3 linked regions of the Ovis aries genome follow. The protein of the gene in region 1 purifies or fractionates together with the protein of each later gene. This does not show direct contact. Links are inferred from orthologs where the notes say so. Each region holds a gene or a part of one and is shown on either strand. Other genes may lie near its edges. The genes, in order: ILF2, SF3B4 and HNRNPR.

The links.
Region 2: the proteins of ILF2 (region 1) and SF3B4 fractionate together in Homo sapiens (co-fractionation; 3 studies listed by BioGRID, with this or other methods). This does not show direct contact. The link is inferred for Ovis aries from reciprocal best matches to the Homo sapiens genes ILF2 and SF3B4.
Region 3: the proteins of ILF2 (region 1) and HNRNPR purify together in Homo sapiens (affinity purification with mass spectrometry; 3 studies listed by BioGRID and IntAct, counting the BioPlex papers as one, with this or other methods). This does not show direct contact. The link is inferred for Ovis aries from reciprocal best matches to the Homo sapiens genes ILF2 and HNRNPR.

The regions. Positions count from the first base shown.
Region 1 is NC_056054.1:104,109,081-104,119,338, reverse strand, and holds the start of ILF2 (interleukin enhancer-binding factor 2), read left to right. Parts: upstream 1-4,365; 5' UTR 4,366-4,416; coding exon 4,417-4,421; intron 4,422-5,113; coding exon 5,114-5,173; intron 5,174-5,380; coding exon 5,381-5,423; intron 5,424-5,991; coding exon 5,992-6,096; intron 6,097-6,469; coding exon 6,470-6,547; intron 6,548-6,855; coding exon 6,856-6,958; intron 6,959-7,451; coding exon 7,452-7,517; intron 7,518-7,984; coding exon 7,985-8,101; intron 8,102-8,583; coding exon 8,584-8,662; intron 8,663-9,320; coding exon 9,321-9,408; intron 9,409-9,819; coding exon 9,820-9,881; intron 9,882-9,959; coding exon 9,960-10,074; intron 10,075-10,258. UniProt on the Homo sapiens protein: Chromatin-interacting protein that forms a stable heterodimer with interleukin enhancer-binding factor 3/ILF3 and plays a role in several biological processes including transcription, innate immunity or cell growth.
Region 2 is NC_056054.1:100,029,784-100,040,181, forward strand, and holds SF3B4 (splicing factor 3B subunit 4), read right to left. Parts: upstream 6,306-10,398; 5' UTR 6,269-6,305; coding exon 6,235-6,268; intron 5,789-6,234; coding exon 5,660-5,788; intron 5,429-5,659; coding exon 4,886-5,428; intron 4,567-4,885; coding exon 4,360-4,566; intron 3,386-4,359; coding exon 3,212-3,385; intron 3,017-3,211; coding exon 2,829-3,016; 3' UTR 2,603-2,828; downstream 1-2,602. UniProt on the Homo sapiens protein: Component of the 17S U2 SnRNP complex of the spliceosome, a large ribonucleoprotein complex that removes introns from transcribed pre-mRNAs.
Region 3 is NC_056055.1:243,232,524-243,242,798, forward strand, and holds the start of HNRNPR (heterogeneous nuclear ribonucleoprotein R), read left to right. Parts: upstream 1-5,360; 5' UTR 5,361-5,455; intron 5,456-8,570; exon of another isoform or gene 8,571-8,573; 5' UTR 8,574-8,582; coding exon 8,583-8,739; intron 8,740-10,275. UniProt on the Homo sapiens protein: Component of ribonucleosomes, which are complexes of at least 20 other different heterogeneous nuclear ribonucleoproteins (hnRNP). hnRNP play an important role in processing of precursor mRNA in the nucleus.

The sequences.
Region 1 (10,258 bases):
AAAGGAGGTTGCAGATATAAAAGATATCATGAGAAAGTCTGGCTCTCCTTTATTTGGAGCCAAGGAGGGAGGGAAATACTAGGGTAGAAGCAATATTTAAAGAGACAGTGGCTGAGAAAATTAAAAAAACATGTACTTCAAGCCACAGATTCAAGAAGCTCAACAAATCTCAAGATTAAAAAGAATAATCCATACCTGGAACCATCACAATGAAACTACAGGAAATGAAAGATTTGTCTCTCAGTCGTGTCTGACTTCTTGTGACCCCATAGACTGCTGCACGCCAGGCTTCCCTGTTCTTCACTGTCTCCTATAGTTTGCTCAAACTCATGTTCCTTGAGTCGATGATGCTATCCAACCATCTCATCCTCTGTCCCCACCTTCTCCTTCTGTCTTCAATCTTTCCCAGCATCAGGGTCTTTTTCAATTAGTCGACTCATGTCCAACTCTTTGCGACTCCATGGACTGCAAACTCCAGGCTTCCTAGTCCTTCACTGATTATGGTATTAGGATCAATTAAATCCATTAGTGAGTACCTGGCATCACTTATTTGTCATTGAAAATATTTACTATATAATACAATTTTCTGGATGTGAGAGTGTAATTGAAAAAGTCTTGGTCTTACTTTTAAATATAAACCAAATTAGTTACTGTGTGACACTGTGATTGTTGTTCAGTCGCTAACTCATGTCCAACTCTTCGCAACCCCATGAACTGCCCCATGAACTGCAGCACTCCAGCCTTCCCTGTCCTTCACCATCTCCTGCTCAAATTCATGTCCACTGAGTCAGTGATGCTATCTGACCACCTCATCCTTTGCTTCCCTCTTCTCCTTTTGCCTTCAATCTTTCCCAGCATCAGGGACTTTTCCAGTGAGTCTGATCTTCACATCAGGAGGCTAAAATATTGGAACTTCAACTTCATCAGTTTCAGTCGTTCCCATGAGTATTCAACGTTAATTTCCTTTAGGACTGACTGGCTTGATCCCCTTGCAGTCCAAATGGACTCTCAAGAGTCTTCTCCAGCAGCACAATTTGAAATCATCTATTCTTTGGTGCTCAGCTTTCTTTATGATCCAACTGTTAAATTCGTATGACTACTGGAAAAACCATAGCTTTGACTGTAGGGACCTTTGTCAGCAAAGTGATGTCTCTGGGTTTTAAAATGCTGTCTGGGTTTGTTATAGTTTCCCTTCCAAGGAGCAAGTGTCTTTTAATTTCATAACTGCAGTCACCATCCCCAGTCATTTTGGAGCCCAAGAAAATAAAATCTGCCACTGTTTCCGCTTTTTCCCCATCTATTGGCCATGAAATGATGGGACCAGATGCCATGATCTTTGTTTTTTGAATGTTGAGTTTTAAGCCAGCTTTTTCACTCTCCTCTTTCACCTTCATCTAGAGGCTCTTTAGTTCCTCTTCATTTTCTGCCATTAGAGTGGGGTCATCTGCATATTTGAGGTTATTGATATTTCTCCTGGCAATCTTTAAAATCTTTAAAGACAATCAGAAAAAAGACTATTGGTTACTCTCAGAAGAGCAATCATTTGACTAACAACTCTTTTTTCACAGCAAAAATGGAAGCCATAAATAGTAAAATAATATTGTAAATGTGCTGAAAGAAAATGACTTCCAGTTTAGAATTACATATCTAGAGAAAATTTCCTCCAAAAACAAAGGTGAAATAAAAATGTATTCAGAGAAGCTGAAAACAAGAAAGTTAGCCACCAGCAGAAGGGCACTAATTCTCAAGGAGTATTATTCCATAGTGTTGTGGATACAGGAAGGAATAAAAAGCTTTAAAAATGGTAAATCTCAGTGACCATTGTCTTAGTAAGCATTAATGTCTTATGGGATTGAAAATATATATGGAATTTAAATTCTGTAAACATATACACCAACACTTACCCAATAGGAACAATTGCATCTCACAAGAATCTTGTACAAAAATGGTCATAGCAGCTTTATTCATAAAGGCTTCAAACTGGAGACAACCCAAATATATTAGCCTGTGTCTCAGCCAGTCAGCGGAGAAGGCAATGGCACCCCACTCCAGTACTCTTGCCTGGAAAACCCCATGGACAGAGGAGCCTGGTGGGCTGCAGTCCATGGGGTCACTAAGAGTGCGGACGCGACTGAGCAACTTCACTTTCACTTTTCACTTTCATGCATTGGAGAAGGACATGGCAACCCACTCCAGTGTTCTTGCCTGGAGAATCCCAGGGACAGAGGAGCCTGGTAGGAGGCCGTCTATGGGGTCGCACAGAGTCGGTCACGACTGAAGCGACTTAGCAGCAGCAGCCAGTCAGAGGTCCTGTATTCAACACAGGAGAATGGATAACAAACTGTGGAATATTTATGCAATGGAATGCGACTCATAATAAAAGGGAACAAATTACTGACAGACGCAAAACTTCAGAAGAATTTTAAAATGGGTCAAACAAAAGAAGCTAGACAAAAAAACGAGTACATAGGATGTGAGCCCTTTTATGTGAACAACAGACAAAAGTAATCTCTGATAATAGAAATTAGAATAGCGATTGCCTCTAGGAGAAGGGCAAAGGGGTATCAGTGAATTTTTTGAGGTGATAAAAATGTTTTATGTTAATCGTGTGGTGGTTACCTGGGAAAAATTTATTACTCAAAATTAATCAAGCTGTAGACTTAAGATCTGTGCAATCTGCTGTAGTAAATAATACACCAATATAGTACTTAAAGGGGTTACACAACAATATATACAATCCTGGAGGGAGTGATGGTGGTAAACGGAATTAAATTTTCTTGCATTTTTCTCGAGGAGGGAAAAGATTTCATAAAATTAGACTTTGGCAATCGAGGAGGCGCGTCATAATTTTTAGGATAACAACTAGAAATGTAGAAAAGGAGTGGGAACTCTCAATTGACAGAAGCAGAGAAGGAATAATAAACAGTAATTAATGCAAAAGAAGGCAAGGAGGATAAACAGGATTATAGGAAGGACAAAAAGCACCTTGGAAGAAAAGTTATGACCAACCTAGATAGCATATTGAAAAGCAGAGACATTACTTTGCCAACAAAGGTCCGTTTAGTCAAGGCTATGGTTTTTCCAGCGGTCATGTATGGATGCGAGAGTTGGACTGTGAAGAAAGCTGAGCGCCGAAGAATTGATGCTTTTGAACTGTGGTGTTGGAAAAGACTCTTGAGAGTCCCTTGGACTGCAAGGAGATCCAACCAGTCCATTCTAAAGGAGATCAGCCCTGGGTGTTCTTTTGGAAGGAATGATGCTAAAGCTGAAACTCCAGTACTTTGGCCACCTCATGCGAAGAGTTGACTCATTGGGAAAGACTCTGATGCTGGGAGGGATTGGGGGCAGGAGGAGAAGGGGACGACAGAGGATGAGATGGCTGGATGGTATCACCGATTCGATGGACGTGAGTCTGAGTGAACTCCGGGAGATGGTGATAGACAGGGAGGCCTGTGCTGCGATTCATGGGGTCACAAAGGGTTGGACACGACTGAGCGACTGAACTGAACTGAACTGAATATGAATTGATGTAAATGCAACCACAGTATATCCATATACTTGGCTGTGAAACTTTGCATAAAGGTGGAATCCGCCAGAGAGGTTGTAGAATGAGGAAAGGAGAGGAAACGACAAAAAATGGCAGCGGTCTGGTCCTTCTCTCCTGTCGCTTCCCTTGCCCTCCTTTTCTGAGCTCTCTTTCCAAAGGCTGTCTCAGTTTCCCTTCTAGTCCCTCACCATCAGTACTTTCCCTGAGTCAATCAACATACATACTCATATCCGTTTCTTCTGCTTCAGCCTCTGTGAACCACATCCAGACATGTAGTGTTCACAGTCACCCAAAATCCCTTCCTACATGATTTCGGTTGCCTTTTCCATTTCACTCGCTGATGGCAAAAACAGCTTTTAAAGGCTGCATATTTTGAGGGAGAGAAAAGTAGGATTACGGTAGTTACATTTACTGAAGAAATTTAAAACAGAAAAACTGTCCCAGGAGAAAAAAATTAAAAAAGCACCGCTAGCAGAGGATGGTTTCGATCCATCGACCTCTGGGTTATGGGCCCAGCACGCTTCCGCTGCGCCACTCTGCTGTTGCCGTTTTCACCCCCCAAGAATCATAGAAAGGTCTCTAGATGCCAGCCACACTAATTTCTTTACACAGCGCTCTCTAGTGTCTGCAAAAGGGCGTTAACGTCTAACCTGTTCTTATTGGCTAGTTACTGACAGAGCAGGCCCTTTTCATTGGCTCAATAAACCGGTTTGCCAAAGCAAACCAATAGGCACAAGCAGCGGAGTACGGCGGGAGCCAATCGCGCTGGAGTTTGTTGGGACACGCCGGCAAGCTGCCTCTCCAGTTGTCGGCTCCCCAGAGGAAAGGGGCGGTTGGTGTGGCCTCCATTGTTCGGGATCTAGGACGCCATGAGGTAAGGGTTGTGGGGTGCCCTGGAGAGGTTTCAGGTATTCGACCGAAAACTTTAGGAAGTTGGTCCGAAAGGAGTCGGCGGACTGGAAAGGGCCATGTACCTGGGGGTTGCACGGAAACCTGAGAACTCCGGCTCTAAGAGAAGGGGAGGTCGGGGGCAGTGGAGGCGGGGAAACTTGGCCGGGGATGGGGGGTGGGGCCCAGGAGTCGAGAGGCGGTTCCGACTGTTCGCTCTCTGGGGGGTTCAGATGAGAGGGTGTCCTCAGGTTCCAGGAGGAGCACCCCCACACCTCCTATTTAGACTGAGATGGCTGGAACGTGTCTCATTCATCCTCAATGCCAGTTGCTTGACATACACGATACGCCTGATAGATGCTTTTACTACATGAACGAATGAATAAGCAGTCACATTAGTCTGCGAAGTATTAGGGTTGGCGGGACCCGGCGATTATGGGATGTTTCTTGTAGGGCTCTCTTTAATGTGGTTTGATGTGAATCAGTTATCCAGTCATGGGGAGTGAGGCTGGACATTTGGAAGGTGTAGAAGTGTAAGTGAGAATGGGATCCTTTGGCTTCCAAAGGGAAGTGCAGAGCGATAGAGGTAGGCTAACCTGAAATCATACGGCCGGTACCGAGGAGATTGCTTCAATGAGATGAAAAGAAAGTTAAAATATGTTAATAATGCATTTCTAGGGGTGACAGAGGCCGCGGTCGTGGCGGGCGCTTTGGTTCCAGAGGAGGCCCAGGAGGAGGGTGAGTGCCAGTCCTTAGCATCTGTGCCCGTTGGTTTCCCTTTCAGTCATCTAAATAGGAGTGGAGTATCTTACCTGCCTTGTTGAGATCCAGCTGTAGTTTAGAAGTATTCTTCTCATGCTCTCTTGATAAATGAGTTTGGCCCCATTATGTGAAGTCAGTTTGATTTATGTGGTGAGTAATCTGGATTGTTTTTCCGCTTTTTAGGTTCAGGCCCTTTGTGCCACATATTCCATTTGACTTCTATTTGGTGAGTACGGTGTCTCTTCCCTGGTGGCTAAGAGGTTAAAGTGTCTGCCTCTAATGCGGGAGACCTAGGTTCGATCCCTGGGTGGGGAAGATCCCCTGGAGAAGGAAATGGCAACCCACTCCAGTATTCTTGCCTGGAGAATCCCATGGACGGAGGAGCCTGGTGGGCTACAGTCCATGGGGTCGCAAAGAGTCAGACACGACTGAGCGACTTAACTAACTTAACTTTGGCCACTATTCAATTGTTGTTTCTTGGAACCTGGTGTCTCCCTGTTAATGAAGTCATGTGGTAGTTGGAGTAGAAAAAGGGAAGTTTTGAGTCATCTGTGTTGCTTTACATACAAAAAAGTATAACCTGGGTGGGGAAGATAGGTCCTTCATTACAATCGACAGTAACATGATTATAATCTTTGTTCTGAACAGTTAATTGTATCACTGCCTTGTCTGTTAATATTAGGGTCACAAGAGTATAAGTGTTGTAGAATTATCTCTTTTTTTGTGTTGTGGCAACAGAAAAATCTGTTGCATATTATTTTTGGCAAGTAGTATATAGTATATTTCTTGTTTAGTGTGAAATGGCTTTTCCCCGGGTCAAGCCAGCACCTGATGAAACTTCCTTCAGTGAGGCCTTGCTGAAGAGGAATCAGGACCTTGCTCCTAATTCTGCTGAACAGGTATATTCTGTTGGTTTTCTTCCTGAGATTTCATGAAGGAAGCTAGAGAAGTAAATAGCTACTTGGTGAGATTACTGTTGTCAGAGCCTGAACTCCACAGGTTTAATCATTCTTATTTTTCATTGTGTGTAAAGGGAGAGCATCAAGTGAATGTATAAACAGATTACATGTGCGTTCATATTATTATTGGGGAATCTGTCGTTGGGATCAAAGTTTTCTCTTCTGGCATATTCAAGGCTGGGAGGGTCTGGGTGCTTTCAGAATCCGGTATAGGTGTTGATTCCTATTGAAGGAATTGGGGAAATAGTCAAACTTGATGAAAAGTTGCTTGGTATTTCACCTGAGGGTATTTTTGTTTCCTGCTATTTTTCAGGCCTCTATCCTTTCCCTGGTGACAAAAATAAACAATGTGATTGACAATTTGATTGTGGCTCCAGGGACATTTGAAGTGGTGAGTTTTTGAAGATCTAGTCCTAGGAAAGGGAAGTCATGGAAGTGTGAAAGTTTCCTTGGTTCCTGTCGCTTGATTCTTCAGATGCTTATTTAAAGCCACTCTTGGAATGGGAAAGTACAGTAGAATTCCTTTGTCGTGCTGGTCTTAGGGACCAGATTCATCATTGCTATCAGCTAGCTGTAATGAATCAGGCTTTTCATTGCTCATTTTGGAATATGATTTGAACTCTGCTACTTCCAAATCTGGGTAATAAGCTTCTCACTTGTAAGTTTTGTTTTTTCTTTCTTAAATCCCTTTTCCAACAGCAAATTGAAGAAGTCCGACAAGTCGGATCATATAAAAAGGGAACGATGACTACAGGACACAACGTGGCTGACCTGGTAGTGATCCTAAAGATTTTGCCAACATGTAAGTGTGCCTCTCTTTGGCCACAGCAGCAGAACATAGCAGTTGGATTTGAGGCATAGGGATTTAAATGGTGTGCTGTATGTGAAAGAATGTATGACCAGTTACTGCAGGACGGACTTTGCTCCCCAGGGGACATTCAGCAATGTCTGGAGATGTTTGAGGCTAACGTCTTCTGGTAGAGGCCAAGGTTGCTGCTAAGCATCCTGCAGTGGACAAGACAGACCCTACCTCCCAACCCCAAACAAAGAATTATCCAGGCCAAAATGGCATTAGTCCCACTGATAAAAATCCCTACTGTGGAAAAAAGCGTGTAAAGGAGGAGGTGTCATCGAGCCTTCAGTTTCTCTGTTTTTACAAACTTCCCCTTGCAAAAGTGTGTATTCAGTTGCTTTTCGTTGCTCTGCAGGAATCAGAGTGCAGAGTAGCTTTGAGACATAGAAAGTCTACTAAAATAATTATAATCTTCATTATCTCTTTTTCTCTTTCAATCTAGTGGAAGCTGTTGCTGCACTAGGAAACAAGGTTGTGGAGAGCCTAAGAGCACAGGATCCTTCTGAAGGTTTGAGTTTGTTGCTGAACATGTAATACAGTGGTCATAGAAGCCAGGTTTATAAGTACATTTAACAAAGTCTGGTCAGGCTAGAAGGAAGAGTGAGCACAGAGTTTTATGTTGGGGAGGTTTCTAGCGGAGATCACCAGCGTTCAAAATCTAATTGATTTCCCTTGCTTTTAAAATTCTGTGTTCTCAATTCTGACTCTGGACTGTTGCTGTTTTTTAAAAACCTGGGACTTCCTAGTGATCCAGTTGTTAAGATTTTACACTACCAATGTAAGGGGCATGGGTTCGATCCCTGGTTGGGGAACTAAGATTCCATAGCCAAGTAAATAACAAATAATAACAGATAGATAGATCTGTTAGATAAATCAGTAGATAAATACAATATCTGTTCCCCTACCCTCATCCTGGATTTACCTTTGGTCATCTAATGGAAATGTGAGTGCAACTTCTGATTTTTCTTCTTTCAGTTTTGACCATGCTGACCAATGAAACTGGCTTTGAAATCAGCTCTTCTGATGCTACAGTGAAGATTCTCATTACAACAGTACCACCAAATCTCCGAAAACTGGACCCAGAACTCCACTGTTAGTCCTTTTATTCCTTTGCTGTAAAATTTGGGGGAAATTAAAAATGTGGTATTAAGTGCTATTAATTTATTTCATTTGTTGCTATTCCACATGAGACCTTTTGGGGACCCAAGTTTACCCCCAAACTTTGCTGTCTTCCTTTGTAATTTGGAAGCAGTTTTATCAGCTTGCTAATGAAATTGTCAAAAACAGCCAGGCCAAGAAAAGCAGTTTGAGGACTTAATAAAAAGGACTGAGGAAATATTTATGGAGGGGGTAGGCTTTTGGAGAAAACTGGGGCTCTTTCATGCTTCCAGATCTGGTTTAGGGGAGGAACAGTGATTTGGGGATTTGCTGATCTGGGGACATGGGGATTAGTTCAAGGGATTACAAAGTTATCCTGTCTTCCTTCTGAGTTCTTGGAGTGTGGCAGTGGAATTGAATTGCTTGCTCAGTAATCGGAATGTTTCATCTTGGTGGATGTCATGCTTGTCTTCTAGTGGATATCAAGGTGTTACAGAGTGCCTTAGCAGCCATCAGACATGCCCGCTGGTTTGAGGAAAATGCTTCTCAGTCCACGTGAGTCCCTCCCTATTTGAGTGATGATATATCCTAATCCTAACTACACTGAACAGCCTGATAACCCAGTCTTTCTGACAACTGTTTTAGACCGATTTTCTGTCTGGATTTTGATTTTTTTTTTACCTGAAGTACTTGGTAGCTCAACTGGTAAAGAATCCACCTGCAATGCAGGAGACCCCAGTTCGATTCCTGGGTTGGGAGGATCCCCTGGAGAAGGGAATGGCTACCCACTCCAGTATTCTGACCTGGAGAATTCCATAGACTATATGGTCCATGGTGTTGCAGAGTCAGACATGAGTGAGTGACTTTCACTTCACTTCAAGCAACTTAGGTTGAGGGAAAGAAGGGAATAATTCTGGCAATAGCTTCAGCTCTGTGCCTTAGGTATAGAAGTAAAATCATACTGCTTTAATTTTTAAGTTACAGAAGGCCCGTCTTGTACAGTGTATCCTTGTAACATTTATTTTATAAGTAGTAGTTTGCGCCTCTTAATCCCATGGCCCCTATTGTGCCCCTTCCCCTTCTCTCTCCCCATTCGTAACCACTAGCTTGTTCTCTGTATCTGTGGGTCTGTTTCTGTTTCCTTTCTGTTATATTCACTGATTTGTTTCATCATCTGTTACTGCTTTTAATTCCTGGTGCCTCTTATCTTCAGAGTTAAAGTTCTCATCAGACTGCTGAAGGACCTGAGGATTCGTTTTCCTGGCTTTGAGCCCCTCACTCCTTGGATACTTGACCTACTTGTAAGTAATGAAGGGCAACTGGAATTCCTGATCCACCCTATGAGTCAGTAGTCTGAAACCTACCATAAAATGAAACTTTGGTACAGATTAAAAGAAATCTTGGAGGAATGGAGGGACCAAAAAAAAAAAAAGCAGCAGCAATCTCATTAGTGGATAAGAAATCCAATAAAGATTCAATGTTCATTATTTCTTGGGCTTTTGGAGTATTCAATTAAATGGGAGTTATTACTGCTCCTTTATCTTTTTCATTACTGTTGTCATTAATGTGGTAAAGGAGAGAAATTACTGAATGAGCAGTCATTTCAAAACTGCTTCTTGAACATGAAAGTTTTCTTCATGATGGTTTAAAGTTTTAATTTGTTTGAAGATAGAATTGCCACTTTATGGCACACTTACCAGATTTTCTTGTAGGGACACTATGCCGTGATGAACAACCCCACCAGACAGCCTTTGGCTCTAAACGTGGCATACAGGTACAGCATGCTGCTTTGGGGTTGGGGTTTGACTGTAAGTTGTCTTGTGTGTTCTTCTAATACCTCTCCATGTTTCAGACGATGCTTGCAGATTCTGGCTGCAGGACTATTCCTGCCAGGGTCGGTGGGTATCACAGACCCCTGTGAGAGTGGCAACTTCAGAGTACACACAGTCATGACTCTGGAACAGCAGGTACTGGTGCAGCTCTGAAATGGTCCATTGTGCCCCCCTCTTGAATATCCCGTGTCAGAAAGCAAAGGAAATGTGATCTTAGTGGTCAGAGATTTGGGGGTTCTCACAAATTTTGGTTTTGAAATTAAGATTTCTTCATCTTTCATGAAAATGAGAAGGTATTTTGATTCTCTTTGCTAATTTA
Region 2 (10,398 bases), about 4.1 Mb from region 1:
AAGGCAGAAAGCACACAGAGACTGAGACAAAGCTTCCCAACACCTGGGGATGCTCCAGTGTTGGCCTCTGGCGTGTGGGGCCAGGATCCAGCTGCTGGCTATGCCAGGTTCCAAGCATTTCTGGGACCTCAGTTTATGACCACATATAGCAGAACTCTGCTTGAAATTAAGGTGGTCAGTTCGTCCCCTTGTGACTCAGAAGCCTGGTATCCAGTCATGCTGTGAAATACCGTGTCTAATCTTCCCCCAAGTTTTTAGTTTGGCCAATGTAAGCGCTGCATGCAGGCTCTTAGTTCCACGAGCAGGGAGGAAACCGGTACACCCTGCAGTGGAAGCACAGAATCTTAACCACTGGATCGCCAGAGAAGTCCCTCCCCCAAGCTTTTGACATATGTAATCAGACATCCACTAGATGACTCAACCTGCACACCTTCCAACACACTACAAAGTCAACATACCCAAAACTGTGCTTATCATCTTTATCCTGCTTCCCCAAGTTCTTCCTGCTGCATACTCTCATCTTTGATTCCACTCTTCCTTTCATTCATTGTATCCAATCTAATACCACGTCCTAACTTGCCTTTTAAGTATCTCCCCACTGGAGGCTTCCCAGTGGTAAAGTGGCAGAGTCCACCTGCCAATGCAGGAGAATCTGGTTCTCCTGGTTCGATGCTGGTTCGATCCCTGGGTTGGGAAGATCCCCTGGAGGAGGAAATGACAACCCACTCCAGTATTCTTGCCTGGGAAATCCCATGGTCAGAGGAACCTAGAATTCTTAAGCCAATAGTGTAAAGCCTGAAGCATCCTATCTGTGTGCTGTTTGAAATGGTTCTCTGTGCCACAATGTGAGAAGGGCTGAGAACTAATCTTTGGGCACTCCCTGACTGGTTCTGACCTCATCCTGCCTCCAGCACTGAACAGCTTTAGCTTTAGCACATTACAGACTATGCTATTTATCAGTCTTTTACTTCTGCTCAGAAGCATCCCACAGATCTGGAATGAGTTTCCCTTCATCTTAGTCTGAGAAGCTTCTAACCTTCAAGATCATTCAACTATCATTTTCCCAGAAAGTTTTCTTGGACTTTCAAGCCAGGTTGGATACCCTTCCTTCCGCTCTCAAAATATTTTGTTTCATAATAATCTCTTATATATCAGTCTACTGCCCTGGTGGCTCAGACGGTAGAGACTGCCTGCAAGGTGGGAGACCCAGGTTTGATCCCTGGATTGGGAAGATGCCCTGGAGAAGGAAATGGCAACCCACTCGTGTTCTTGCCTGGAGAATTCCATGGTCGGAGAAGCCTCGTGGGCTATGATCCATGGGGACACAGAGTCAGACACAACTGAGCGACTAACACTTTCACAACCCCCTGGTAATGATCAGACAGCAGAACTGCCCTGCTCATCTTTGTATCTTCAGTGGCCACCAGCAGAGTCCTTGTGTGTACGATATTACCTGAATGAGAACGATGCAAAAGAACAAGAGGGCCAGGCTTACCTTTTCTTGCCTGGAGTTTAAGAAAGTTCGTGGTTACATAAGCCATAAAGAGCTTTGGAGAAGAGGATGATATAACGGGATTAAATGTGGCAAAGGAAAGAATAGGCCATTGGATTTGATCTAGTTACTTAAAGTCTAAGCACAGATTTAAATATGATGGAAATCAGGTTTGGAAGGCCTGAGGAGAAAGGAAATAGGAATAAGATACAAACCCCTTACCCAAGATATTTGGCAGTATAAAGAACAAAAGAAAATGAAGGATTACTGAGTTCCTACAGTCCCATTGCAATTACTTTGCTACCATTTAAGATACATGGTTCCACAATAACATAGTATTGGACTTGAGAAATCCAGTTTCCCTCCATATTCCTTCCCTTCCCCCAGTGGGTATCAATTTCCATTAGTTTATGGTTTATCCTTCCTTTTTCTGGCCGTGTAGCATGAGGGATCTTAGCTCTCCGACCAGGGATTGGATCTGTGGCCCTTGCAGTAGAAGCAGATAACCTCTGGAGCTCCAGGGAAGCCCTATCCTTTCATTTTTAAAATAGAGACAAATGTACAACATACATTATGTGTCACCCTTTAGATAAGAAAGCACATTATGCCTTCTGTTCTACATGCTACTTTCTTCACTTAATATAGCCTCGTGATCTCTCCAATCAGTGTGTAGAGTCTCCCTCATTCCTTTTTACTGATGCTTAGTATCCTACTGTATAGATTTACCAGTTTATTCAACCAGTCCCCTACTGACTGATATGAGAGTTGTTTCCAATCTGTTATTGCAAATAGTGCTGCAATGAATAGCTTTGTGCATGTTACTTCCTATTTTTGCCATCTTATTTCTAGGAACTTTACTTCTATTCTAACTTAGTACTCACAACAACTATGCCGTAGATACTGGGTCTTCATCTTATGTATAACTTTGATGTAATGAATCAAGTGCTGCAGTACACAGCAGTCCAGCATTTGCAATAGCACATTATAGAGTAAGTCTTTAAAACTTGGAATAAACACCCTCACTCCTACCTTACCGTTCTTCTCCCAATATACGGACATCTCTTCTCAGAGAAAAAGAAGTTATTCTGTCAAGTTAAGCACCACAAACGATAAACAAGGAGTTTAGTTTAATTTTCTCTGGGTATTTGTAAAACACTTAGGGCCAACATAGGAAAAAATAAAATAAAATACAGCCTCCTGTGAAAAAATTACACTTACAAAAGAAAGGCCTGAGAGGGATTAGTGCCTTAGCCCCTCGGAGCTATAGCAACTCTGATTGGTCCAAGGAAGTGAATAGATATTGGGAGGCTACAACAGGAGGAAAAACAATGAGAAATCACTGAGGGAGAGGGCCTCGAAGTGGGCCTCGAGGGGGCACTGGAGGTCGGGGAGTAGGTCTGGGTGGAGGGAGGGGCCCCCGCTGGTAGCCGTAGGGTGGAGGTCGTGGAGGGCCAGTGTATCCATGAGGAGGCATCAGTGGAGGAGGTCCACGCATACCATGCGGAGGCATAGGACCTGGGTGACCTGCAGGTAAAAAAGGAAAACAAAGTAAAAACAAGGAATAGGAGACAGTTCATATTGGGACAATGTAAGGAGAGGATACACTGGGAGATAGTGAAAAGAAAGAGAAGAAAAGAAAGTGCAGGGGATAAGAGGTGTGACAAAACAAGCTGCAAGAACAATATGTGAGGATGAGGGAGGTGGCTAAAGACTACTCACCCATAGGAGAGCCAAACGGAGGCCCTCGGGGGGGCATGCCCATTGGAGGAGGTCCAGGATGAGGCATTCCAGGTGGTGGTCGGGGTGGTGGCTGCCCCCCAGAGCCAGGCGGCCCAGCGTGGGGGTGCCCTAAGCCATGAGGGCCATGGTGGGCCAGCTGCATCTGAGACATCCCTATGAGAACAAAACAAGACACAGTGAGAAATGAGACAAAAGGAAGTTAGAAGACAGGAGGGCAAAGAAGACAGAGAAGAAAATGAAGAAAGTGACATCAGATAGAATACAGAAATTAAAGCTGGTAAAAAGTGCCCTTATCTTTGACTCCATCCCAAGAGAATAAATCAACCAACTACCCTACAGCTCCCCAGTCCCTGAAGCCCATTTGCTCCTTCCATGATTTAGGCATTGTAACAGTGCTGCAGAATGGCGTGATTATTCTACTGAATAGAATCTGGGAAGATAACAGAGACACTGTCACAGCAAAGATCTAATTCTAAAGGATGAACAGGAATTTTTCAGGTGGACAACAGAGTGGGAAAAGAACATTCCAGGCAGAAAAAAATCAGCAGGTGCAAAGCATGGATGTGATCAACAGCACAGTATGTTAAAGGAAACCCAGTAGAACAGCTTGTAGTCATGGGAGTAACAGGCAGGAGCCAGATTATGCAAAGCCTAGAATGCTATGATAGCGAGTTTGGGTTTCACTCTGTAAGTAAAAAGGAACAACCAGAAGAATTTTGAGCAAAGGTGTGTGAATATCTGTATTTAAGAAAAATTACTCTGAGATAGTCAATCAAAGTAGAGATAATTAGAGTCAAAGTGTCAGTTAGGGTATTACTAAAATAAATTAGGTGTGAAATAATGAGGATAGGAGAGCCTGGGCTTCCCAGGTGGCGCTAGTGGTAAAGAACCAATGCAGAGAGCCTGTTGTTCTCTTTGGTAAAACTTAAACAAGAAATGAAGACAGCATGATGGTTGTTAAAATAAACGGTAAAGTATCTTGCATTTTTTTCCTAAAAGAATGTCTGAAAGAAAGGAGAGCTTGGGCACTATCTATTATTGTTAAAGGACAAAGAACAGCAGCATTAAGTGCTGACAGAGCTCCTCCATCAAGCTCATCCCTCTCCTTCCCAGCAAAGAACGCTCACCTGGATGGGGCATCCCACCAGGTGGGAATGGGTGAGGATGTGAGTGTCCGTGTCCAGGATGTCCAGCCCCTGGGGTTCCCGCTGATGGGGGACCATGTCCTCCAGCCCCAGGAGGCATAGGTGGTGGTGGCATGGCTGGGGGTATCCCAGGAGGAAGGGCTCCAGGAGGTGGTACTGGAGGTGGGAAGGAGCCAGGAGGAGGCATGCCTATAGAGAAAATGGAAAAACAGTTAATGATAGTGAGCAGAGAGTGCCTTTAGAGAGCCTGTTCCACCCTGGCCTCTCCAGGCCGAATGAGCTCTTTTCCCCTCCTCCCAGCTCTCTGAAGTCAGCGGCAACATTAAGTGACTTGAACAACAACCTTCTGGAGAAAACTCAACAACTTTCTTCCCACCACAATCATCATCCCTCAACCCCTTTCTCATCACCTAATGACTCAATGTCCTCTCCTTGCCAGGTTATTTTTCCTTCTTCCTGGCCCCACCCTTCCCAACCCAACACAAACATTTTTTATCAAAAGCTTTACCTGGTGGAGGAAGCCCAGATCCCAATGATGATACCACAGGATTGGGAGCAGATGGTGGAGGGGGTGCATCTGCAAATAGCTGATGAGGGCGGTCAGCCTGGGAGAGTGGGTTCTGTGCTGCCAGAAGTCTTTCAGCGGCTGAGCCATGGCGCTCACCCTTGGAGTCCTTCTTGAATGCGTAGGACACAGTGATTGGGCGGTTACAGAGGTACTGCCCATTCATGGCCTCAATCGCTGCATCCGAAGCATCAAATGAAGCAAAATTAATAAAGGCATAACCTTTGGAGTTGCCTGTGTCAGGGTCCCGCATAATCTTGGGGGTTTGTAAGATGACCCCAAAGGCGCTAAAAGTATCATAAAGCAACTTCTCATCAATCTCCGGGTCCAGGTTCCCAATAAAAATGTTGGCCCCCACATCCAGGTTTTTGTTGTGAGCTGATGCCTTGTTCACCCGTATTGGCTTCCCATAGAGTTTGATCATGTTCATGATCTTAATGGCATAGTCAGCATCTTCCTCACTCAAGAATTCCACAAAGCCATAGCCTGGGGAAGTGGAAAAGAAGAGGTTAGCAACTGAAGTGATTTAAAAACGAGTTTATAACTCATTTGTCTTCTAAAGCACAAAGGATAAGAAATAATAATCCCAACTTCAATTGAGAATGGTTCCAGAAACAAAATCTTTAGTTTGCTCACTCCAAAACTTAATATCACTGGAGACCTCCAGGAGCAGTCTGTCCCTTTCATAGATAACTGTACTTTTTGCCGTGTACTCACCTTGGTGCTGACCAGTGACTCTATCCTTTGGCATGTGCGTGTTCACTACTGGTCCTGCCTGGAGAAATAGTTCCCACAGCAGTGGTTCGCTAACCTTCTCATCGAGGCCCCCCACGTACACAGTGGCATCTGGAAGACAGGATTAAGAGGTAAGGACAGAGATGAGGGGAAATAGGGAGGTAACGGGAACATGAAGATGGAACCCAGGCGGAGGAAGTGGACGTGGAGATGGGGTAGAAAAGCGAAAAAACAAAAAGATGTTAGATTAAGCTTTTAGAAGCTCCTCCTTTCCAGAAAATAGACAATCTTATGTCTAATTTAGAGTGACGGTGCAAGTTCACTCTGTAACTTTTCTTTTTCTTTTTTTTTTTTTTGAGTGGGAAGGCAGCAGAGGACTGGACACAGCATCACAACTATAGGCCTCAAGTCTGTCCATCCCGTCCCCATAAGGCATCGGGACCAGTCTGGCGCCCTTCGGAAAGGCAAAATCTCCCGCCCCAGCGGAAACATTGCTGGGCCTAGTCGAGGTCCCTCAAACCCCCAGAGTCCATTCTGGGTCTGTCCCCTCCAGTCACCCTGGTTTCGCTCGGAGATCGGCCCGGCAGCCATGGCGAAAGCGCTCCCGCCGTCTCCAGGCAGCGATCCCGCCCCCTGACCTCAGTCACTACTTCCGCTTCCGAGGCGAAGGCTGACGTGAGGTGGTGGGCGGGGCCGCGGCAGGGGAGGAGCCGGAAGCGGCCTCGGCCATCTTAGGAGACGCTGAGACTGGAAGCGGCTGAAGTAGCGGTGCGCTTCGGTCCACGCTCCCGTGCAGAAGTGCTACTATGAGCGGACGCGGCGGGGAAAGTGAAAAGGAAACGTTCTGTCTCTTTTAAGGCAGTGCTAGAAGTTAAAGGGTCACACTGCTCCCGAAACTGTCACTTCAGAAGCTGGGAGAACAAAACTTTAGTTTTCATGTGTTTTGTAGCCTTTTTTTCCCCCTTAGAAGGGTGTACAGAGGAACCGCTCAACGCAAGGCGTGGGGAGAACCGTCCATCCCAACCCGCAGTCCTTGAACAGACGCGGCCTCACAGCCCAGGCCTGAGCTTGAGGTATTTCCTTTTTCCTCAGGGAAGGAATTGTGGAATGTCTGAGCTCGCCTAGTCACTGCATAGGAGGGGAACCTGAGGTTCGGAGGTGGGGTGGTACCGAAGTTTACGGGGGTTTGATACTGAAGCCCAGAGGCCGAGGCCGAGGCCGAGGCCGAGGCCTTCAGAGCACACCCTGAACTCCAGCAACCTCTGGGCGTGCCTTTGCCCTGTCTACACGGAAGAGAGGACCTTAAATTGTGAATCCTGCAGCGCCTCACGCAGCCCAGCCCCTTACTTCCTTAGCAGTAATATGGTCGGTACCGTCCCTTCGTGGGTCACATTCCTTTCCCTCCTCTCCCACCACTCCCTTACCTAAGGTTCCTTTAATCAGACACAAACAATGCCAGCGGCGTGTATAAATATTGTGCTTTAATGAACTCCTTAAATAGAAATGTCACAATGAAAATATATAATTGGAAGAGATAGGGTGTCCTGTGTATATTCCATACCCATAGAAAACTATAAGGGAAGAAATAGAAATTGGAATTAAGCAGCAAGAGGAGGTGAGAAGGAGGTCTGTAGGCCATCTTGTTGGCACTGATAAACAGTATATCTGATTATCACAATTTACCAGCGCAATATCCAAAATTTCCATCCCAAAGACATGGAATTGCCCTGAAAAAGAGAGGCAGTCTTCTGGATTGTTGTTGTTTCTTAATTCTTCAAATGATAAGAACTGTTTAAACCAAACAAGGCAGGATAAGAGTTGGATAAGGTTAGCACCACTCATCCTCAATAGAAACTCAGGTCAGTGATCTTGTTTATGAAAGCTGAGGCAGCAAGACCAGATAAGAAAAACCGAAGGATTAGACAAAACTCTCCCTCACCCCAGACCACCCTCTGCCCTGCCCATGAGAAAGCCAGCAATTTCAACGGGATTGGGAGAGAATGGTATTTGGGTTTCTTTTCTTGGAGTGATCCTCGGGAGATATTCGTGGTGTCCATTTCCTTAATAACTCTTGAAGATGGGATAGCTCCTCCTGGAGACCAGAGATTGTGGGAGCTGAGAGGCCCATCTGGGAAGAGGGTGAAGAGAGGCAGAGAGGATCCTTAATTCTCTTAGTTCCCTTTCCTCCTCCAGCTATCCCCTAGGTTCCACTTGATATAAGCCAGAAGCAGTTTTCCCACACTCCCAAATCTATCCGCTTTGATACCAATAGGAATGGTATCTAACTTCCCAGTCCCCCAAACCCTTGCCCTTCTGCTCCTGGAAACATCTGGTTTCTCCTAGAACATCTGGTTCAAAAGTCAGACCCCTTCTCCCACTCCCAATTTTTGCCTTCCCTTCTCACCTGGACCTCAGGCCTTCCCCTCAGGTAGCAGCGTCTCCAGAGCCTGATCTGGGGTCCCAGACATCCAGGCAGCAGCAGTCCCGGGGGTAAAGGGCAAGCTCCCCAGTGTGAGGGGAGCCCCCACTCCTGATCAGCCAGGCTTTCAGAAGAGATAGCAGGTCGAGGGAGCCAACGAGAGGAGACTGCCAGCAGGGAGGGACTGTCCCGCCAAGGACAGAGTTGATTCAGGGGTGTCAGGGCCCCTCTAGAGAAGAGCCACACGGAACTGGGGGGCCCAGGAACCATGAAGCTTGGCTAAGGAGGAACAGGAAATCAACTGGCAACTTAGAAACCTGATGACCCCCAGTTTCCCCAAACTGGGTCATGAAGGAATGTCCAGCTGTCACCCACTGCACACTGTACCAGTTATCAAACTACAAGCCTTCCCCTGAGAACACTTTATCTGCTCTCCTTATTAGACTTCAAACTAGGCCTCAGGACTGATTAAAGTTGATTTTAAGGAAACATAAAAATGTGTGCATGAGACAAGAAGACTAATAAGGATGAGGAGGACCAAAAAAGATGCCATTTGTGATTTGTAGGATTTCTGTCTTCCTGGGGACAGTTAGGACTATAAATGACACCAGAGGGGGAATGAGGAACTCAGACACTATCACCTCTCCTCATCTAGTAGGATGAGCCTGTGAAAAAAATCAAAGGAATTTAGGAACTTCAGACACTTTACCTGCTGTCTAGGGAGCCAGGAATCTGGGCAGTGTTCTGGGTTATAGCCAGGATTACAGAATTGTAGTATTTGTTTATTGCTGTAGCGTAAATTCCAGTCCCAGACAGATAGTTGTGGGTTAATAGAGTTCCCAGCCCCTGGGAACCCAGGGGTATAGACTTGTGTATAGTTGTTGAACTAGACAGAGGAAACAAGAAGAGGAAGGTTAAACAAAAATATATAATCCTCCCCAGTTTAGAGATAAATCGTGAAACTCATCTTATTCTAAGAATCAGATGTAAGGCTTCCCTGGTGGCTCAGTGGTAAAGAATCCACCTGCCAGTGCAAGAGGCACAGGTTCAATCCCTGGTCCAGGAAGATCTTATCTACCTTGAAGCAACTAAGCCTGAGCACCATGACTGTTGAGCCTGTGATCTAGAGCTTGGGAGTCACAACTACTGTGAGCCCACATGCCACAACTACTGAAGCCTGCACACCCTAGAGCCCATTCACAACAAAAGAAGCCACCACAATGAGAACTCCATGCACCACAACTGGAGAATTTGCTGCAACTAATGTGAGAGTTGGACTGTGAAGAAAGCTGAGCACCGAAGAATTGATGCTTTTGAACTGTGGTGTTGGAGAAGACTCTTGAGAGTCCCTTGGACTGCAAGGAGATCCAACCAGTCCATTCTGAAGGAGATCAGCCCCGGGATTTCTTTGGAGGGAATGATGCTGAAGCTGAAACTCCAGTACTTTGGCCACCTCATGCGAAGAGTTGACTCATTGGAAAAGACTCTGATGCTGGGAGGGATTGGGGGCAGGAGGAGAAGGGGACGACAGAGGATGACATGGCTGGATGGCATCACTGACTCGATGGGCGTGAGTCTGAGTGAACTGCGGGAGTTGGTGATGGACAGGAAGGCCTGGCGTGCTGCGATTCATGGGGTCGCAAAGAGTCGGACATTATTGAGCGACTGAACTGAACTGAAAGAAGAGCCCACTCAGCAATGAGGACCCAGCACAGCCACACACAAAGAAAAGAATCAGATGTAGGGTGAAAGTCCAGTCCTGAAAGAAAGCGCCAACCTCCTCCCCCTTTCCCACCCGCAGACCACTTTTCATATTCAAGGGTAAACTTCAGAGAGTAGTTCTTTTGTTGACTAAACTGCTTGTGGGATCCTAGTTCCCCCGACCAGTAATTGAACCTGGGCCATGGCAGTGAATGCCCAGAATCCTCACCACTAGCCCACCAGGAAACTCCCAGAGAGTACTTAATGGGTAGGGGAAAGCCAAAAATGGAAGTCACTGACCTGTCCACTCTGCTTTCCACGCTCCCAGGGGGTGTCTCTCAAGAATGTAAGGGTGTCAGGAACTCTGACACTGTCATGAAGAGCAAGAAGGAAGAACTCAGAAAATTCAAACTCAGCTGGAAACTGCTGGAGGAGCTGCCAGACGCAGTCAAGGAAGAGGAGAAACACTGGGGCCTGAGAAGAGGGAAATTAAGAGGTTGGAAGGGTGTGTGGGGACTTAAATGGAGAGGATGAATGACGTGGGAATGGGGACACTAAGGAGGTCAGGGGGTGGAAATCAGTTGAGGTAGGGGGTTGGGGT
Region 3 (10,275 bases), on another chromosome or scaffold:
TCACATTGCAGTGGCTTCTCCTGTTGCAGAGCACAGGCTCTAGAGCATGGGCTAAGTAGTTGTGGTACATGGGCGTTAGCCACTCTGTGGCATGTGGAATCTTCCCAGGCCAGGTATTGAACCTGTGTCCCTTGCAGTGACAGGTGGATTCTTAACTGCTGAACCACCAAGGAAGCCAAATGTGTGTATGTTTGACTGGTAAAATATCCATCTCTACAAATGACGAGTCTGCCAACACTAGGACTTCAACCAAAAAGGAGCTTGATGAAGTAGCTCACACCTGGGTTTGAGTCTTAGTTCACCTGTGTGGCTTTGAGCAAATGTTTTAACCTCTCTGAGCTTTGTTTCCTCAATAAAATGGAATGTTACCAGTCTTTAAGTTTTCATGTGAGGATCAGCCACAGCATATATAAAGCACTCAACACACAGTAGTCATTCAGTCGTGTCTGACTCTTCAATCCCATGGGCTGTAGCCTGCCAGGTTTCTCTGTCCATGGAGTTCTCCAGGCAACCATACTGGAGTGGGTAGCCATTTCCTTCTCCAGGGGACCTTCCTGACTCAGGGATTGAACAAGTTCTCCTGCGTTGCAGGCAGATTCTTTACTGTCTGAGCCACCGGGGAAGCCCCAATACATAGTAAGAGCTCCATAAATGGTAGTGATTGCTGTTTAAAACACTGTTGCCACTAAGATGGAGAAACACTCTTCCTGTTTTAAAACAGTTGGATGAATTTGAGAATTGAAGGGAAGTAGATGGACCAGCTAGGATAATCTTCAAGAGAACAATGTTGCAAAAATGATACAGCAGGCATGCAGTAAGATCTTGGAGTAAGTTGATTATAAGCTATTGAATGTCAGCCAGATGGCACTTTATTTTTTAAAAGAAGGGTAATTCTAGGAGGTATAAATGAGACACAGTCTTTAGCTCTGGTCAGTCTTGATTGGAGCACTACCATTTTGGAAAGTGGCTTAAAATGATAATTATTGAAGTCTGATGGAGGAAATAAACAGTTCTATTTGACAGTGGGAGAATTCCAAGTAGAACTGAAGTTTTCTAACTAGTATTTTCTAACTTATTCATCATATTGGGGCTTCCCTGAGTAGACACCTCTTGGCACCTAAATGTTAACAAGGGTTGGTTGTTGATATCCTTTCCACTAACATGCTATACATGGTATTTCTTCATTTTCCATTTTTCTCTCCTCATTCTTCTTTCTATATTATTTCTTTTTTCTTTCCCCTAGGTGTGACCTTGAACTGTGGCTGAGTTGGCTTCTCATTAGTAGCAAGTAAAGGCATTTTTGAAGAGGCTGAACTGATGTAATCTTGTTTGGAGTCTGAGGAATAGACTGTTTCCTTTAGAATCATGAAAGGGACAAGTAAGACAAAGATTAATCTAAGGATCCAATAAAAAGGTTTGATAATTTTAAACATTCTTTGTTACTTCAGGTTGTAAGTAGTAAAAGTCAAAGCTTCAATTTGAGTATTCTGGTGCTCTGTAATTGTTTAAAGAAGCAAAAGCATGTTGTTCATTGACATACCAGTTAGACCACAGATTTGTTCTGTGACAGGGAAGAGCTGTGGACTGGTCTAGCTGTGCTGTGTTACCCATCTTAAAAAGGTTAGATATATAGCTGGAGCGCTCCCTAGCAATTCATTTTATTATGTTTATTTGTATACTTGTCTTGCCTTGTAAACTGGAATGTAAGCACTTAGAGGACAGCGATTATGGTTATATTTTGTACTTTTACACAGTGATTTATATGTAGAGGGCATATAACAAATATTTGTGTAATATCACATTCATGAATACACACACACATACAATTTTCTTTTGAAATGCAAAGCTCAGGTGCCCATATTTTCCAAATTTAAAAAAACCAGATACATGGTCTGAAAAGGTGGAGTGTACTTAGGACCATACAGGTGAGTATTTGACCTCAGAAAATATTGGATGATAGAATCACTTTACTTACAGTATCCAGTCCAGGAGTTTTCATTCTATATTAAATGGAGAAGGGTCTCTGACTGGAATTCACTGGTCCTTCAACTTGAAAGAAAAAAAAATAACTATTTTTGTTAATATACTGCTGAAATTAAGCATTTTCCCCCACTGTGAATACAGGAAACAAACCACAGTTAGCGGTAATTTTCATTCTGTCACCAATAGGAATAACAGATATTTTAATATCGCATTCCAGCTGTGGGATTTCTTGAAATACCTTTTTGCTTTAAAATTTCAGTAGTTTATCTTGCTGCAAGATCTTGATGTTTAAAGAAAAAGATTCAGTTCAGTTCAGTTGCTCAGTCATGTCTGACTCTTTGCGACCCTATGCATTGCAGCACACCAGGCCTCCCTGTCCATCACCAACTCCCAGAGTTTACCCAAACTCATGTCCATCGAGTCAGTGATGCCATCCAGCCATCTCATCCTCTGTCGTCCCCTTCTCCTCCTGACCCCAATCCCTCCCAGCATCAGGGTGTCTTCCAATGAGTCAACTCTTCGCATCAGGTGACCAAAGTATTGGAGTTTCAGCTTCAGCATCAGTCCTTCCAATGAACACTCAGGACTGATCTCCTTTAGGATGGACTGGTTGGAGCTCCTTGCAGTCCAAGGGACTCTCAAGAGTCTTCTCCAACACCACAGTTCAAAAGCATCAATTCTTCAGCGCTCAGCTTTCTTCACAGTCCAACTCTCACATCCATACATGACCACTGGAAAAACCATAGTGTTGACTAGACGGACTTTGTTGGCAAAGTAATGTCTCTGCTTTTTAATATGGTATCTAGGTTGGTCATAACATTCCTTCCGAGGAGTAAGCTTCTTTTAATTTCATGGCTGCAATCACCATCTACAGTGATTTTGGAGCCCCCCAAAATAAAGTCTGACACTGTTTCCACTGTTTCCCCATCTATTTGCCATGAAGAGATGGGACCAGATGCCATTGTCTTAGTTTTCTGAATGTTGAGCTTTAAGCCAACTTTTTCACTCTCCTCTTTCACTTTCATCAAGAGGCTTTTTACTATATCATAAATGTCTTAAATATGTATTTCCTGATTGTATTTCAACATAAAATTTCTTTTATAATGCAATCTATTTTACTTTGCTCTTTTAAAAACACAAAAGATCCATAGTTTTACCAGACTCTCATATGGCACAAAATAGGTTAAGAACCCTCGAGCTAGATGCAGATTTATGTGAAGCTAATAAAGTTTAAACTTCAAAGTCCCTTTACCATGCCCTTCTAGACTCTGTTCCTAAATTTGTATTCATCATTTTATATTATTTTTCTTAAGGATCCTAGCATATACATTTTAATTTGCATTATAAAATTATTTATAATTTATATATATAATCATAAAATTACATAAGATTATATTAATCATTTCAAATTATAAAATTAGCATTTTAATTTACATTATAATTTGCATGAAATGGGCTTGCTTCCCTGGTAGCTTAGCTGGTTAAAGAGTCTGCCTGCAATGCAGGAGACCCTGGTTCAATTCCTGGGTTGGGAAGATCCCCTGGAGGAGGGCATGGCAATCCACTCCAGTATTCTTGCCTGGAGAATCCCCATGGACTGCAGCCTGCCAGGCTCCTCTGTCCATGGGGTTGCGAAGAGTCGGACACAACTGAGCAACTAAGCACAAAAGATGCTTGCTCTTTAGAAGCAAAGCTATGACAAACCTAGACAGTGTATTATAAAGCTGAGACATCACTTTGCTGACAAAGATGTCTACAGTCAAAGCTATGGTTTTTCCAGTAGTCAGGTAGGGATGTGAGAGTTGAGCCATAAAGAAGGCTGAGCACTGAAGAACTCACACTTTTGAAACGTGGTGCTGGAGAAGACTCTTGAGAGTCCCTTGGACAGCAAGAGCAAACCAGTCAATCCTAAAGGAAATCAACCCTGAATATTCATTAGAAGGACTGATGCTGAAGCTCCAACACTTTGGCCACCTGATGCAAAGAACCCATTCTTTGGAAAAGACCCTGATGTTGACTAACAGTGAAGGCAGGAGAAGGGAGCAACAGAGGATCAGATGGTTGGATGGCCCCACGGACTCAATGTATACGAGTCTGAGCAAACTCGGGGAGATGGTGGAGAGGGAAGCCTGGCTGTGTTGTAGTCCACGGGGTACACAAACAGTTGGACATGGCTTAGCTACTAAACAGTAAAATCATTTGCATAAATTTCACACCCCACGCTGCAGAAGTTGGGTTGTCCATGACGTTCAGCCCAGTACCGAATGCATAGGTTTTCAACAGCTAATTTTTGGCTGATAGTTTCCGGGAAATTTAAATTATCCTTGAAGTGTATCTGGAAATCTTTCAGGCCACTGCTTGGCTTCCTTCTCGCCTGGAGAGGGACAGGGCATTGGAGATGGGGAAAGAAGGGCCGTGGGATGAGTGAGGTTCGGACTAAAGCGAGGAACAGGGGACAAACCAGTAGGGGTGGAGGGTGAGAAATGTTTAAGAAAAAAGGGATTTAGCCTCCTTTGGGAATTAGCTCTTTTCCTTGCACGGTTCCTTTGGCTTCGTAGATGCATACACCTGCCCAATGTTCTTTTGTGAATATGAATTAGCTCCAAACCCCACGCAGAAAGGTCTCAGCTCTGTCATTTGTAGCTAACATGACTCTTAAGTAAATGCCCACTTGAGCGATTTCCCTCACATCCTGAGCTGCTCCCAACCATGTGTGGAAGAGAGCCAAGGAGGGAGTTTTCTGAGTGCTCCAAGGGATGATTTTTCTCCGCGAAGAAATTCTCCAGCAAAACAGACGAGCCAAACCCCTACAGCGTGCTCTAACTGGAGCCCAGAAAACGACCTAGAAGAGGCCCGGCCGCGTGGCGGTGGGCGTGTCCGGGGTGAACGCGGCGGCGGCGGCTGCCCCTGGGAGGCGGATTACCGGCGTTAACACGCCGGTGAAGGGGCGGGAAGGCCCGAGGGCCCGCGGCCGATGGAGCCGATGCGAGCCGTAGGGGGCGGGGTTCCGGGGGCGGCCTCGCGCGGGCGGCAGACGAGAAGGGACGGGAGAGGGGGCGGGCCTCGGCCACTTTGGGCCTGCGGCCCCACAGCCTCGCCTACCACTCGCGGCTTCGCCACAGACCCCTTTGTGTTCCTGCCCCCGCCCCGGAGGCGCCCCAGCCGGCGGCGCTGAGTTCCCTCATTGGCTCAGCCGACGGCTTCCGCGATTGGCTTCTGAGCCGTCCGGCGTGGGGCGCCTCTTCTCTCTGCTATTGGTTGTCTGGGCTGTTCGTCAGGCCGCCGCGCGAGGTGATTGCCCGGCAGCTCAGAGTCCCTGGAAGCAGTTCCGGGAAACCCCGCGTGCTGCCGGGATCGCGTCTCGGTCCGTGACGGGGGGGGGAGGGGGTGGTGCGCGCGCCATTTCTAGTCGTTTTCAAAGCGCCTCGCGCTGGTTCTCACGGGCCCGGCCACCGGCCCCAGCTCTGCCCTGGTGAGTCTCGCGCCGGCCCGCGGGGGGAGGGGCCGGGAGCCCCGATCCGACCCTACCGGGCCAGGCCGGGGCTCGGCGCCTGCTCCCCAGTTTCGTCTTCGCTCCGAGGCCCCCAGGGTGGGGGTGGGGATGGGCTGGGGGCGGCTTCGGCCTCGTCCGGCTGCTCAGCGGAGGGCCTAGCCGCCGCCGAGGCGCTTCCTCGCCCTCGCTCATCCTCCCCGCTCTCCCCGCCACCCGCCGCCTCCCCTCCAAGCCCAGGCCCGCGGTCCGGCCCGCCGGGCGCCCTCCGCGCGGCCTGCCGGGTCCGCCGCGCTTTTCCCGCCTCCGCCCGCCGCTCCACGCGGCCGAGTCGGCCGCTTTCAGTCCCCGCTTTAGATAGACCCCGTCGCCTCTCCCTGCCGGAGCCCCGCCTTGCTCCCCGTCTCAGCCGGCCTAGCCGCCCGTGGGGTTTGTTGATGGTCAGGACCGGCATGGGCCGGGGTGGGCCGAGGGCGGGATGCCAACCCGGGTGAGCCGAGCCGGGAGAAAACTTTTGTGTGAAGCAGAGGCCGAGAGGCCAGTGTGTGTAGGAAAAGGCCTCCGTTTCCCCTCCCCAGCCGCCCCCCTCCCCCAGTTCTGCATGCTGCAAGTCGAGATTTGAAGGAAAAAATGACTACTAGAGGCCATGAAACTTAGGCTTCGAGCGGCGCCTGAGATACCGAAGTCTAAATGCCATAGGCGCACTCTTGGAAAGGCGATTCTCTTTTCCTTCTGCGATAGAAACCGTATTGCCAAAATTTTAAGACTCGAAGAAGCCACGGGGATCTTGAAGGGTTCAGCCCCTTCCACACTACCTGTTTCAGATTTTTTGCTGTCCTCCGGAGTCTAAATTTATGTCTCATGAGTCAGTCGTAGGATAAGGGCTTGACACTCCTAAGCCATGAGAGAACCGTTAGTTTTCATTTCATTGGATCCTTAAAAGCCGGTCTCTTAAAATGAGAATTATTTTCACGAGATGTTCAGAAAAAAAAAAAAAAAAAAAAGGAAGGGGCTAGTGCCAGATTTCCCAAATTTCCCAGCGACCCTGATTTTAATTTCTCCTTTTTGCAAAAAAAAGTTTAGATCAAATAACATCAATCATATTAATATATTTGCTGCATCCAGAAATATGGTTTGGCTGTGTGGCATTGAATTGACACAAGAGTTTTAAATGGTCATATGACATGAAAGTCTTTTTTTAATATGAGCGCATTATATTTGGTTTGAAGAGAGCTTTTTCCTTGATCTGGAAGGTGTTATTTTCTGGACTCTCTTAATAGTTGTACTTTTTTGTTAAAGTTTACAGACATTTTTTGAAAATTTCAACCAATTTAAAAATCAACTTGTAGAGAGCCTTTGCAGTGAATGATAGTCATAAATATTTGTCTTGTGCTTAATACACAACTTGTCTTTTTGCTTTACACATAACTTTAAAAATACCACCTTAACAGATTTTCATTGAACTTTTCTGTTAAAAATTTGCTTTCTTTCCGTGATTGATAGTATTCCCAGGTGCAATACCGCAAGGGTCTTGTGATACTGAGAACTTTTGAGTTCTAATGATCTATCTTATGGTCGTATTTGAGGGTGGGTGAGCATGGAAAACAACTATACGTTCCCAAAAATATTTTGGACTTGAAGGCTTCTTTATAGAAGTAGGTTGTACTAATCAGTAAACTATTCATCTTACACTATAAGTAGTTTCTTTATCAAAAGTGTCAGTTTTGAATGTTTTTGTTTTTGCCAGTTCATCAGAGTTTGAGTTTTGCCTTGAGAAACATTTATCCACCCAGAGATTAACCACGGAGTCTGCCTCTATATAGACATTAGTGGGTTACTAAGTCTTAATGTTTTGTAATCATAAGAAGTTATAATACTGTTTATCTCATTTTCAGAGTAACAGTTTGTGCCTTTTCCTCTCTTCCTGCTTTCTGTTACCTCCTCAGTCTTCCTTTTTCATTAACTTCAACGAAATATCAGGGGGCTTTGAAGTTGTTTTAAGTCAGAAAAACTGCACCTGGTGTATTTGCACAGGGTTTTGATAAGCAGTCTGGAAGTGTGGTTATCTTAGGTATGGATTTTAGTGCTTTTTAGGAAACTTGTATTTTCTTTACAGCTGTCTAGGTATCTTCAGTTTCATCAGGAAAAGTAGGCTTTTCCTTGAAATCCACCTTCATGTCTTTTATTTCAGTATTTGTTGCAATGTCTTTATTCTGCTGCTTATTATCTTCATCACATTATAATTTCACCACAGACAAATGCACTTTAATTCCCTATCTTTTGCGGAGCTAGTATAGAGACTGGCCTTGTATGGTTTTATTATTTAATCTCTCTTCAGGGAGTTGATCCATTTCAGCATTACATAAAAGTTGAACACCCAAAATGATTTGGGTAGGTAAATCTGAGACATCTGACCTAAGTTTAAAAAGAAGCAACCTTAACTACAGCTCACTTTTTATTTTATGTGGACTTAAAACAATCATTTAGCTTTTAAACCTGGTCATTTTTTCTTTTAAATCTGTGAATGGGAATAGCAAATTAATTTTAGAACAAAAATTAATGTCAAGCTGTGTTTTTTAAGTTAGGTGGAGAAAACCCAAACCAGCAGCATGTTGAACTAGAGACAACAGGGCATTTATTTCACACCTATGTTGTTTTGAAGCAGAGCTAGTAAAGTTTGAAAGTCCTTGAACCTTAAGTTGTCGTGGGTGTTCATTCTGTTTTTAAACCAGACTTTTTAAAACTGTTTAAGAATTGAGAGCTGAGGGGCTTTTTAGGATTTTGTGATGATCTGTTGATAAGCTCATCAGGACACAACTGCTGCTTTTGTTAATTAGTGATTCTACCTTAAATAAATTCAAGCTTTTCTCTAACCTGGTGTACATGAAGTTCCTTAAAAATTCAACACTTCCATGTACATTTCCCATGGTTTTACAGAATTATCGCAAATTTAGGTCAGATACATCAGAAAAGCCATCAGAAATAATATTTCGATAGAGGTTATTAGCAGCATGTATACAAATTAGATAAATCATGCATTGTCCTACAAACTAGTTATTTCTGGCTTAATGTAATATAGCTCCTGAATTTTTTCCAGCAGCATAATAAAATGGCTAATCAGGTGAATGGTAATGCGGTACAGTTAAAAGAAGAGGAAGAACCAATGGATACTTCCAGTGTAAATCACACAGAACACTACAAGACACTGATAGAGGCAGGCCTCCCTCAGAAGGTGGCAGAAAGACTTGATGAAATATTTCAGACAGGTATAATATACATTTCTTGTTTCTGACTGGTTATGAAAGTGAGGGCAAACCACTTTGAATTTTATAGATTTTTAAAGGTTAAATATTACTTATTGTTTCTGATCTATGTAGAGCTGAATGTTACTTTCCCTTCATTGAGGGCATATTGGGTTTGACTTTGATATTCTTATTTCATTATTTTGAAGCCTTAGTGTTGAATATGCAGTCTGAGTTGTTTCAGAACAGTACATCAATTTGTCTTAGATTTACCATCAATTAAAATGTGTTTCAGCATATCAAATTTACATTTTTTTCTTAATCTAAATCAGTTGTCATTTTGCTTTTACTTTTCTACCTTTAGCTTCTTAAAGTGATTGTTAAAATAGCTTAGGTCTTATTTAGGTGGCATAATAAGAGGACTAGTTAGATGGTATTGTCTGAAATGATAATAAAATGTCAGACTCCTTGAGAGTTGGTGGCCTGTCCAGTTTGTGACAGACAGAAATCTACAACTCTCAGTAATTTGGACGTGTTTGGTTTGTAACAGCTGTGTTTTTTTTTAAATCTAGAATCCCATGGTTAAGTGCTTAAGCAAATTTGAACATTTTAATATGGTGGTTGTAAGTGGTTTGAAGTTCTAAAGAGGGAGAGAAATATATATACCATTAGAGAGCATTGTTCATAAATAAATATGTCCTCCCCCTTTGGGGCCATTAGATGGAAGCGTTCTTCCTCTGTGTTTTGTGTGCCTGTCCAGATTCTGGGAGAGAAAATGGAATTGTCTCACAGACTGTGTCTTAAGTACTGTAGTAACAAATAACTGTTTTTTTTGTCCTTATTTATTTATTTATTTTTAAATCCGAGAAGCTCAAGCTAAAGCTCATTGAGACACTAAAATGACTTCTCAGACTGACTCCTGGGTGATGGTCCCTTTGAAAATCAGTGCTCAGAAGCTTTCTTTGATGTTCTGCCATAGAGAATTGGCAGTGATCTGCTTTGAGATGCTCTCTTGTAGAGTGTTTTGTTATTGATAAGAGGTTGATGGCTTGGGTGTAGGGTTGGATTGACAGAATGTGATTGATGGGTATCCTGAGTTGTGACTTTGGGTGGTGATATGGAATAGTCAAGTAAGGAAATGCCAGTTATTTTGGCATGCTCATTTTGAGCTCTTACATCATGGCATCTTTTTTTTTTTTTTTTTAAAGTAACTTTGCAAGTGATATTATGGAATAAAGTTCTTTTTGGCTTTACCAAAATGGAGTCACTTTTGATGTTAGTTCATATGGACTTGGGGCTTTTAATCTGCCAAATATTTCCATTTTACTTTGGATCAATTCTGAAATATATTCAGAAATATAAAATTTAACAGACTTAAATTATATTTAAACATAGTAGATGTTCTTTGTGCAGTTAAATATACTATATGTATATATAGAATGCAGTGCATATATTTTTTATATACTTTGCTTTAAGTCCATAGTAAAGTCCTTTTACTGCCATTTGAAAAAAAATTGTCATTGTTGACAGTGTTGCTAATGCTACAGCATCTTTTAAAAT